Linked DNA regions of Tribolium castaneum. The protein of the gene in region 1 binds, or shares a complex with, the protein of each later gene. Links are inferred from orthologs where the notes say so. Each region holds a gene or a part of one and is shown in the gene's direction. Other genes may lie near its edges.

Region 1 (3,660 bases):
TTTCCCCGATTGAAACTTTTAAACGCACAATTCGTGTCTACCAATAAGAATGAAACGATGTGTAATTGTTGCTTGTGCATATTACCTAATTCCCCTAAGTACTTACGCTTTTGCATTTATTTTTTAAAAACGAATAACATTCCTCTCAAGTGACACTATCCGATATCTCTAGCGTTATTTCCCAGATGCCCTACAGTTATTAAAAATCGGTACTAATTTATGAAAGGCGTTGTTTCTTGGTTGTTTTAGTCACAACTTATGTCTTCATTATTTTAAGATTGTTATTAAAGGCATTGTTTATACAGTTATAGGCCATTATGAAAATATTTTTTGTATTATACACTTAGAATATACAATAAAAGTCCTTTACAATTTTCGTTGCAATTTATTCAAACCACCTCCACGAAATAGAGTTTGCTAAATTCTTATAGCACCCACTGGGGCATGACTACTTTAAAAAAAGGTTACTAAATCAGGGGTTTTTAAAGCAGTCGCATGTGGACTTGCTTTACTATTGCAAGGTTTGAAAAGGAACTGAAATAAGACATCCAGTATTTAAACACCAATATCCAATTAAACTCCGCCCAGGTGGGTACTTCTCGTATTTGGATACTTTTATGTTGTCCCTCGTAACGTTGGCAATGTTTCGCGCGCAACCAGTATTGCATCTCCCGAGAATGTACACTCATGAGAATTCTCTACTAATCGCTAACCTTTTATTTTTTTTTCTATCCATCAAACCTAAACTCAGAGCTTACACAATTCGAACAACACTTCGTAATTTACTTTTGTGAGCAATTTTATGAGAATAGAAGATTTCTCGTCAGCGTACATTCACGCGTATGCCCGACAGCTGTCAGGTGTCAAAAATCTGCCAATTCAGTAAAGTTTTAAAAAGATGCTTCATTAGATAAATACCGAAAAATGGACCATATTTTCACCATTAATAAGAAAATAAATAAATCGGTGGACACCAGCAAGCATCTATCATTCACCAAGTACCGCCCAAACGAAAGTTAACCATTTACCAACCGTTTGAATTCCAGACTCGAGAAGTCAACCTTATGCTCGATTTCAAGCTCCAACGTTGTTGCTTTCAGCACGGAATGCAATATCGAAGAAGCGGGTTCCCTCTTTTGGAACTCTAATGTCTACGTCTGCGATTTAAACAGTCCCTGGCAGGTCCACAAGTACGTCCCCAAAAACACTTTCCTGTATTAAACCTCCATTTCCAGAATATTATCAAACTCTTCCCCCATTTCGGTGCTCCAGTGGGACTTTACGGGCGACCTTCTGCTAGTCGCGGACGAAAACGGCTCGATAAAAATTTACAAAGCTAAAGACCACATCCTAAATGACTGGACCCTTGTCCTCCAGACTGTCCTAGAAGGGGAGCACATTCTGTCAGCGGCGTTTTTCCACTCGGGCAAGAAAATCTGCCTCAACTCTGAGAAAAAAGACAGCGCTTTGTACACGGAAAAGTTTCACCATGTCAAGTTTGCCTGCTCTGTTAAACAGTTTGGGGGGCGCCCTGCCAGTGGGGCCCTGCTACTCACAACGACGGGAATGTTGTGCTCGATTTTACTCCCCCAAAGCACGAGCCAGGTCGCAATGGTCATGGCGACAGAAAGCCTGGCCCCTACTAGGATTTTTATCAAAGCTGCTGATATTTGCTATGGCAAAAGTAGGTTTTTTACAAAATCATTTAAACACCAAATAATGTTATTGTGTAGACGGTCATTTTTTGCTCGCTGTGAGTAACGGAGACTTATCAATGCCTATTCAGTGTTATAAAGTCTCTGTCAGGAAAGCTGAAGATAAGTGTGTCATCACAAGCCAGTCTTTACTCAGTTTTTTTCTATTTGAGGCGCCTAAGGAAGCATTAAGTAACAAACTGAGTCATTTAAGCCGTTGTTTAACGTTTGTTTTAGTGGAACAAGTTTCCAAAGAAAAAAATTGCCACATAAGTCATATCAAATGGATAATGAGAGAGGACGCAGATTCGGTGGTTGTTTCAGCCACTAGTGATAAAATAAGCTGTTTGCAAGTGTGGGAATTGAGAGAGAAGGCTTTGCCGGTTCACAAATCACTAGGAAAATCTGAAACTCCCCAGTTTTTTAACACTGTCGTACGTCTATTATCTCATCATGTGATAATCGATACTTACTTATTTTTTAGTTGTGGCAATACCAGTGCCACTTCCAGTATAACAGCAAGGTCACTTCACTAGCTACAAGTAAACTAAGTCTATTAAATAATGTTTCAAGTGGTTATGTCGTGGCCACATTTGCCGACAATTCCATCCATTGCCTCTACAGAGACACTCTAAAACATTTGGTCAGCACCACTTTGACCATTTGTCCGCGTTATTTTGACGAACCTCTCGCCAGATACCCCAAAACTAGCATCAAAATCTCAAACATTGACATGTCCTGGCTCGGCAATATTTTACTCGTGATTGATTCAGACGATAGTCTGCATATGTTTAAGTTACCGCCCCAAATCGACAGCTCAACGCCTCTAAGTGTACCTTACTGTACCACGATTTTAGAGTATTGCATGATGAGCGGTTTTGATTGGTTAGACTTGTTGCTAGTGTTAAGACCTGGAATGTTGGACGCGATATGTGACCGACTCACCGAAAGTTTTAATCGCCAGCCCTCGGCAGTGCAACAGTTTTTCTACGTGCAGTATTTGTGCATGAAAATATCGCTATGCAGGTAGGTTCCTAGTTTACCGACATTGGGTGACAAAATTTTATTATTTAATTATTGTTTTAAATAGAAAGCTTATGATTTTACTGTATTTTTGTATTATGCGAGATATTTTAAGGAGTTTTTACCAGTTTTTTTATAGCAAAGTTAACAGTTTTTGTAATATTTATATTTTTTTGATTTGCACCTTCTTTTTCAAAAATCGAAGTTCCTGTAGAGTATTTCAAAGAAAATGATTAGATTTTTTTCAAATTTTAAATTCCGTAAAGAGTGACAAACTCTAAATTTGAAAGATTACGTTTGAAGAAATTCAACTACTTAAAACACAATTTTGCCAAATTGATTCTTTCTTTACTAAATGAAGAAAAAAACTACCAGTAATTTTGCATCGAGCCAACTATAACCACCATAATATTTTTCAAGTTATTTATAAAGCTTAGGGTTACATTAAAAAAAATGAGATGTTCCCAAACGTAACTTTAAAATGTTTTTTTTAACTTTTTTGAAAACACCAATAAGGGAATAAAGCTTTCTCTTCTAAATGCCCAAATACGATTTCGAAATATTATAAATGACAATGTTGTCGATTTTTGAAAGGGAAGGTGCAAATCTAAACAGTTTTAAAAAAATATAAATACATATCTAGAAAACAAAAGGAAACATAAACACAAAATATTTGAGAAAAATTTGAGTAGCCAAAAAAAAGCAATAAAGAATATAGCTTTTCACTAAAAAAAATGTTTCCAATTTCTGTATAAGCGGAAGTGCCACCACCTTGAAAATATTTTGATACCTGACTAAACAAATTTTTTGATGAATATTGTTATTGGAACCGGAAACACTTTTAATGTGTGCTTTAGGCGCAACACCTCGAATTTTGCGAGTAAAATTCATCTTCCGATATCTGAACAAGCTGAAATTTTGCATACACACGTAATTTCTGTGA
Region 2 (2,793 bases), on another chromosome or scaffold:
CGTGGGGTGTCCCACCCCCGACGCCCCTGAAGACGGCTACCTGGTCTATAGGAACGAAACAGCTGCAGAATACAGGTGCTGCATCAATCGGGCCTTTGAAGACGACGGACAAAAAACCAAAATCATCAACTGCGAGGGGGCCAAGTGGGACGTCGACCTCCCTCTGCCCAACTGTACTAGTAAGTTTGATTAGACGCTAAATGGAATTGACCTCCGACCCCGCTTTTTAATTTTTAATGAGATAAAGTGTTGTGTGCGAACAAAGATAACGCCGAAACTCCACATTTCGTGCTTTGTGCGAGTTTGCTAGTTTGGATAAAACAAAGATAAACTGAACGTAAGCCCTACAAAACAATTTCGCATTCGATGAAACTCCCAAACAAAATCTAATTATATTATGGAGTCTACGCCTCTGCCTATTGACTTGTTGGTGTTTCCGTTCAACAAAACGTTCCCGTATTGCTTTATCTCTCTCGCGATGCTCAGTTGTCAACGGAAAATCGTGTAGGAACCACGTGGATTACCTAGAGGCGTTTTTCGCGATAAAAAGAATTGTAGGAGTTTGCACTAACGAGGCAAATAGTGAGTGTTTCTAGAGTTTTTTTTCATGTAATTGTATTTTTAGCGTCCAATTAGACAAAGCAGTTGAGGTTATATTGTATTGTTATAAAAAAAATCATTATGAAAAGTTTTGTTGTTATCAAATTGCGGAATTGCGCTTCAGACCACATTCATTAAGTCAGCGGCGACTCGTGAACAAGGCTAAATTTACTCATTTTTTCAGAAAAACTTCAACAAAAGCCTCTGCTAACTGTTCAAGACATCGGAAAATCGAAAAATATCGAAATGGTTTCAGGTAACGCATTTTATGATTTGTTTAGGTTGCTGTTAATTTTTTTTCAGATGTTTTAGCACCGGCCTTACTCATAGCGGCTTTATTTTTGATAAATTTTATGGTTCTATTTTACATTTATAAAATTAAGCAAAAGTAAGTTGCTAATTTAGACTAATTTTTTTTCATCCATTGATCTTGTTTTTTTTTTAGACACGCTGAAGAATTTGCTGACGAAGAATTAGGAACGTTGCCACTGTCAAGTTGTGAGAAAGCCTCGCCTTGAATTATTTATTTGTAAAAATGACACTTTTATAATAAAAGTTTTATTTAATAATCGCTATTTTATTCCACCACTTTGAAAGTTGCAGTTTGGCGCGTAAGAACACTAGGAATTTTCGTTAGCTAAGGTTTACCAAAATAAAAACGCAATTTTCAAAAAAATTTATTGTTATAAATCAAATCCAAAAATACGGTAAATATAAAACATATGTTTACATTATGATTCAAGAGATAAGGGGTCAACGACTTTGAACTTGTAGCATTTTTGACACCTAGCTAAGTTGGCACCACTGACGATCATTAAGCTATAATAACCTCAATTTAGCCCCCAAAAATCCACTTAAAATGGGGGTCACAGTGTTACAACAGTTCCCCACAGAGAACCGCACGGGGCCCTCCACCATTGAGCTCCTCTCGAAGCGAATTTCCGCCCTGGGGGCCCTGCAACAGGGCCAGTTTCTCGTCGATTGCGAAACGTTTACTTCTTGTGCCGCTTTGGGACACCAACGTACAGTCCACGTCCTTCACAATTCCGAGCAGCCGGCGACTGTTTTTTCGATCCTTGAGACAGGCCAAAAGACCATTCCTCTCGCAACTGACGGCCTTTTTGATCTCCTGATGATGAAAATGTCCGGTTTTTACTCATCAAAAAAACAGACTAAGGCCGAGTCGAAGGGGCCGCGATACGAAATCGGTGATTTTTGTGTAAAATTGGGAACAGTGACTGTAAGTCAGAACTTTCGGGGGGTTCTGGTTGAAGTAGAGTATCGACCATGTGTGGTGCCTGCGATGTGTTGGGAGTTGATGCGGGAGTTTCTGCAGGGGTTTTTGGGGTCGTCGGTGCCTGCAACGCCCCCACCGTATTTGCAAAACAGGATGCAGGAGTTGTATACCCCCATTGATACAATTCATCAGTATTTGGAGCAGTTTACGATATTTAGGAAGGCCCCCGGTTTAAGGCCCTAATTTTAAGCTAATTTATTGTAAGGTTCAAAGTTTTTGTAAAGAAAAAATTAAATAAAAACAATTTTGAGGTTATATTGTCTTTCTCTTTTACTCCCACACATTAGACTATTATGCGTCTTTGTCTAATTACATAATTTGGAAAGTTGATTGTTCACCTCTATCAGCACTTACGTAGGGCAGAATGTGATAGTGGTGATGAAGCAGTTTTTTTTCAATAAAACAGCATGAAAACATAATCATGCGTTTGCGGTAATTGTTCCTTACTTGAGAGAAAAAGCACAAAAATGAGTGAGATTGAGAAAATCCGGGTTGGATCCCGGAAAAGCGAGGTATTTATCACGTGTTTGTTATTGTGGGCTCTTTTTCATTTGACATTTTCAGCTGGCTCTCATTCAAACGCGACATGTGATTTCACTGCTCAAAAAAATTCATCCTGGGAAGGATTTTGAAATTGGTGAGGTTTCGCAAAAAATTCCCAAAATTTATTTATTTATTTCAAAAATTTATTTTTAGTAACAATGAGTACATTAGGAGATAAAGTCCTAGATATACCGTTACCAAAAATTGGTGAAAAATCTCTCTTCACCAAAGAACTTGAAGCAGCTTTAAGTACAGGCTGTGTAGATTTTGTTGTACACTCATTAAAAGATCTTCCAACCGTATTACCTCCAGGAATGGCAATTGGGGCTGTTTTGACTAGGTTTTTCTTAATT
Region 3 (3,756 bases), on another chromosome or scaffold:
AAACATTTCCTCGATTTGTTTGAGCTCGGATTCACTCAAAGCAGGCGCGGCTTCAGTAGGAGGCGCTGTAAACACCTTCAAGGGTGTGACATTGCCCCCTGTTACGTTGGGCACCACCATAACAGGCGCCGGTGGTTGATATTTATATGAAGGGAACACTAGATAACTTAACACGAGATTAATCATTCCTTCGACACCTTCACCCTGTTTCCCATTTAATGGGTACCAATCCTCGTGGGTTTCCCCTGCAAGTACCTGTTGGGGGATCTGGAACTGCGTCCAGGCGATGAGTTCGTCCATCGTAAATGAGCGTTCGTCGAAAATTTCTAACGTTATGGTATTAATACCTTGAGGCAACAAACTGGAAATGGAAAAGTAGGGACTTGCTAGTTTTTGAGATGTGTTTACCAGTGAATAACTTTGTTCCATCGCGGGTTTTTGCCGCCGTTCGGGTCCGTATGCGTCTCGTAAACGCAATGCCCGACCCGAATCCGAGCGTAGGGGTCCATTCTGGTCATTCCGTAATTTTTTGCGAGCTTAGCTTGAGCAACAGTGATACTGAGCCTCCCAACGACATTTGTGTACTGTTGGCCACCGCTTAGCTGGTGGTGCAGTGCTATGGCTGTTTGGCGATCCGCTGCCTCTTGTTGTTGCTGAACCGAGGTGCTGATACGGAGAAAATCCTCCGGGAGGGGACCAAGGAGGACCTAAATTTCGGCATTAAAGCACGATTTTTTAAATCATTGGCACCTACCCGACTTCGCCTTTCTCTGACTTTGTCCGTTAGCGCCGATGCCATGGTGTTACACTATTTCAGATAAAGTAAAGACGCATTAATTCACTGTTTGCGGTGTTTGATGACAAATAATCAGCTGTTCACGGCAGACGTCAACACGCCTGACACTAGGGGAAAAAATATAATCCCAGTCTGGGATTAAATTTTATTAGTTTCTGGCGAAAATAGCCAGGTAGTTTTGGTTAAATGCAATCTACTAATAATTCTATTCAATTGATTAGTTTTCCAGACAACATTTTTGCATAATTTGGCTAAAATAAAATTTCATCTGAATGAAAGTGTTGCCATTAACTTGACGTAACATCCCTAAAAATTTGACAGGTATTTTCAATATGGCGGGGTTTGGTGCTTGTATTAAATTGTTTCATTAAAATTGTTTAATATTTTGACTAAACAATGGTTGTGTGTCCAGCTGATCATGGCTTACACGCCGATATCGTTTTTGTTATCGAGGGAACTGCAGTGAATGGTGCTTATATAAATGACCTAAAAACCAATTATATCATCCCTTCGTTAGAGTAAGTTTACTTTTTTTTGTAACTTCTGATGTATTACATGTTTTTCTCTACTACTGCTAAATTGTTTTTATTGCCTATTTGGCTTTACAGTCCTACTTGAAGTTATTTGATATTCTAGATATTCTTTACCTTTCCCAATTTTCTTTTGCACCCGTCACTTTTTTCATCCATTCTTTTCCCTTACCATTTTCGTTTAAAACTTTTTTTCGTATCAAACTTGCACACTCTTACCTCCACAAACTGTGACACTCTCCGCTTAATCTGCACACTGTTTCCCAATCTTCTCTCCAATATTCGTTCTCGCTTTCATTTCTACGTCTAAATCTGGCTATGATTTTCTTATCTTTACTTTACATCTTCCTTAAGTATGAGAGGAGTTCATCCGTCAATAAGCACGGCATATTTTACGTATTACACCTCGATTCTTTTTTCCATGTTATTCTTTCCTGCCTATCTATGTCCAAATCTCTCAATTTCAGTTCCTCTTCCATTGTTCGTCCCCTTTCTCTTATTCTTTTAATTTCTATACACACTTATTCCTTCTTCTCATAGGAGTCTTTTCGTCCTTTCCATCTAACATTTTCATTTGCTTTTTTGATTTCTGTTCAACACTGTTGCATTCACGCAGAATTCTTAATTTCTCTTCAAATCCCACCGCTCTCTTTCCTTAATCTACTCTTAATTTTTTTCTCTTCCTTTTTTTACTATGTACTCTGGCATTTGTTTATTTAGCCTGTTCGATCTCGTATTTCTTCCATCCCCACACTTCTGCTCAAAATAGTCCCTACATTACAGTGCTTTTCCCTAAGCTATTATTTTTCTCTTGAAATTTTCACTAAATTTACGTTCTCCCAAGCTTCAAACATTTCCTAAAACCCCATTTGTTTTTTTTTGCTGCTTCTTTTATATGGGCTGTGTCTGACATCTTGCTACTTATTACTCTCTTCTAACTGAAATAGTGAAGATTGACTAAAATAATACAGTACATATCTGATTCAGATACTTCAAGTCTTTCACTTGTTCTATATTTTTCCTTCCCATTGCCATTCATCCTCTTTTCCGAATTCCCATACTACTTTTCTTTCCAAATATCATCATTTTTGTTGTATCTACATCTACATTTCCAATCTTTTATTTCTCTGTTTTTTCTCGTGATGAATTCTGAACGGATAGTTGAACAAGGTTTGAGGTACTGAGAAATCAGTGTAACCTTGCTTTGTTATGATAAAAATTACACCCTGATACGAAAAAGTAGTAGTAGTAGTTTTTAATTGGAGAATATGTTCTTGTAACTGAGGGACTTTTAGATATTTTAGTCAGGGGAGTATTGATGAGAGCAACTTCCTATCAGAAGGGATTAATTCTTATTACGGAATTGTGGTGTATCAGGCTGCTGATTGCTTACCGCACCCCAGTAGCGACACAATTGGGCCCTTTGTAAGCCCCAGTAAGGTATTAAATGCCATAGACAAACTTGAGTAAGTTCTAACTAGGAAAAGGATCACTTAATGTAAAAATTATTTCAGACTTATAGGAGGTAAAGGCGAGTCTCATGCAAACATTGCTGAAGGTTTAGCCACAACCCTTCAATGTTTTGACGAATTGCAGCAAAAACGTGACAATAACGGCAACATTCAAAAGCATTGTATTCTAGTGTGTAACTCGCCCCCTTATTCTCTAGGGGTTTTTGAAACTCATGCTTACACAGGGAAGACAGCTGAGCAACTAGCAGCTATTTTGCAAGAAGTAATTAACCAAGTGTCTTCCACCAAATTTGCATAATTAACTTTCAGAAAAATATCAATTTGTCGATTATCTCGCCGCGCAAAATCCCCTCGTTGTATAAACTGTTCGAGAAAGCCGGCGGTGATTTGAGCGCTTCCCAGACGAAAAACTACGCCAAGGACCCCCGTCACTTGGTCCTCCTGCGCGGCTTCAGCCTGAAGGAGCGCCCCCTGAGCCCCCCTGCCGGTACCGCCACTTCCGCCCAAACCCAAATTTCTAACACTACCATTCCTATAACCTCTCTCCCCAGCCCCTTAGCCAGCAATGACAGCCCCATCTCGTCATCCTCGTCCGCCAACTCCGGGGTTCCCTCAGGAGTGGGCCCATCGCCCGTCTATCGGCCGCCCAGCGCTCAAGGTATAACCCCCCAACACTCACAAAATGTTACACCAGGCATGGTAGGTATGGTGAACGCCCGAGGGGCCATGATGGGCAACAACCCCATGAACATCCCGCAATTGCCCGCACCGCCGGGCTACCACCAAGCGAACCGGCCCAGATGGCCAGCTATGTTGCCCCCAACGCAGCCCAGGTCGTATCTGCCGCCCAACCAACAGGTTAATACCACCCAAAGTAGCGCACTGATTGCACAGCTGACACAACCCCCGAATTCTATGCCGGGGACTGGGGTTAATCAATTTGGACAAAGTAAAAGAG

Evidence for each region.
Region 2: MED16 (region 1) and MED20 share a complex: the UniProt entries of both Homo sapiens proteins name them as parts of the mediator complex. The link is inferred for Tribolium castaneum from reciprocal best matches to the Homo sapiens genes MED16 and MED20.
Region 3: the proteins of MED16 (region 1) and mediator of RNA polymerase II transcription subunit 25 are in contact, whole or in part, in a cryo-EM structure (PDB 7EMF), measured with the Homo sapiens proteins. The link is inferred for Tribolium castaneum from reciprocal best matches to the Homo sapiens genes MED16 and MED25. Residues at the interface, in NP_005472.2 of Homo sapiens: Cys41, Arg42, Ser92, Ser94, His113, Arg161, Lys163, Phe171, Gly172, Gly173, Lys174, Pro195, Gly485, Tyr486, Ala516, Ala517, Gln520, Val521, Thr524, Arg525, Ile554, Ala555, Ser558, Lys561, Ser562, Leu563, Leu564, Arg565, Pro566, His567; in NP_112235.2 of Homo sapiens: Ala26, Asn27, Gly29, Pro30, Tyr31, Val74, Asp75, Cys76, Ala77, Pro78, Glu79, Val82, Cys84, His85, Pro87, Lys102, Phe103, Met104, Gly105, Gly106, Gly107, Gly108, Glu109, Thr120, Gln123, Leu124, Asp127, Phe128, Tyr151, Leu152.

The regions. Positions count from the first base shown.
Region 1 is NC_087396.1:16,567,294-16,570,953, reverse strand, and holds the start of MED16 (mediator of RNA polymerase II transcription subunit 16), read left to right. Parts: upstream 1-807; 5' UTR 808-924; coding exon 925-998; intron 999-1,046; coding exon 1,047-1,190; intron 1,191-1,235; coding exon 1,236-1,684; intron 1,685-1,733; coding exon 1,734-1,886; intron 1,887-1,931; coding exon 1,932-2,128; intron 2,129-2,178; coding exon 2,179-2,720; intron 2,721-3,660. UniProt on the Homo sapiens protein: Component of the Mediator complex, a coactivator involved in the regulated transcription of nearly all RNA polymerase II-dependent genes.
Region 2 is NC_087398.1:429,409-432,201, forward strand, and holds MED20 (mediator of RNA polymerase II transcription subunit 20), read left to right. Parts: upstream 1-1,323; 5' UTR 1,324-1,459; coding exon 1,460-2,080; 3' UTR 2,081-2,152; downstream 2,153-2,793. Other genes in the region: uncharacterized protein LOC103313212, read left to right, coding at 1-179, 785-856, 904-988, 1,046-1,118; Hmbs (porphobilinogen deaminase), read left to right, coding at 2,365-2,409, 2,462-2,534, 2,594-2,780. UniProt on the Homo sapiens protein: Component of the Mediator complex, a coactivator involved in the regulated transcription of nearly all RNA polymerase II-dependent genes.
Region 3 is NC_087402.1:9,090,232-9,093,987, forward strand, and holds the start of mediator of RNA polymerase II transcription subunit 25, read left to right. Parts: upstream 1-1,094; 5' UTR 1,095-1,192; coding exon 1,193-1,314; intron 1,315-2,621; coding exon 2,622-2,792; intron 2,793-2,840; coding exon 2,841-3,060; intron 3,061-3,107; coding exon 3,108-3,456; intron 3,457-3,501; coding exon 3,502-3,747; intron 3,748-3,756. Other genes in the region: toll-interacting protein, read right to left, coding at 1-361, 409-707, 755-799. UniProt on the Homo sapiens protein: Component of the Mediator complex, a coactivator involved in the regulated transcription of nearly all RNA polymerase II-dependent genes.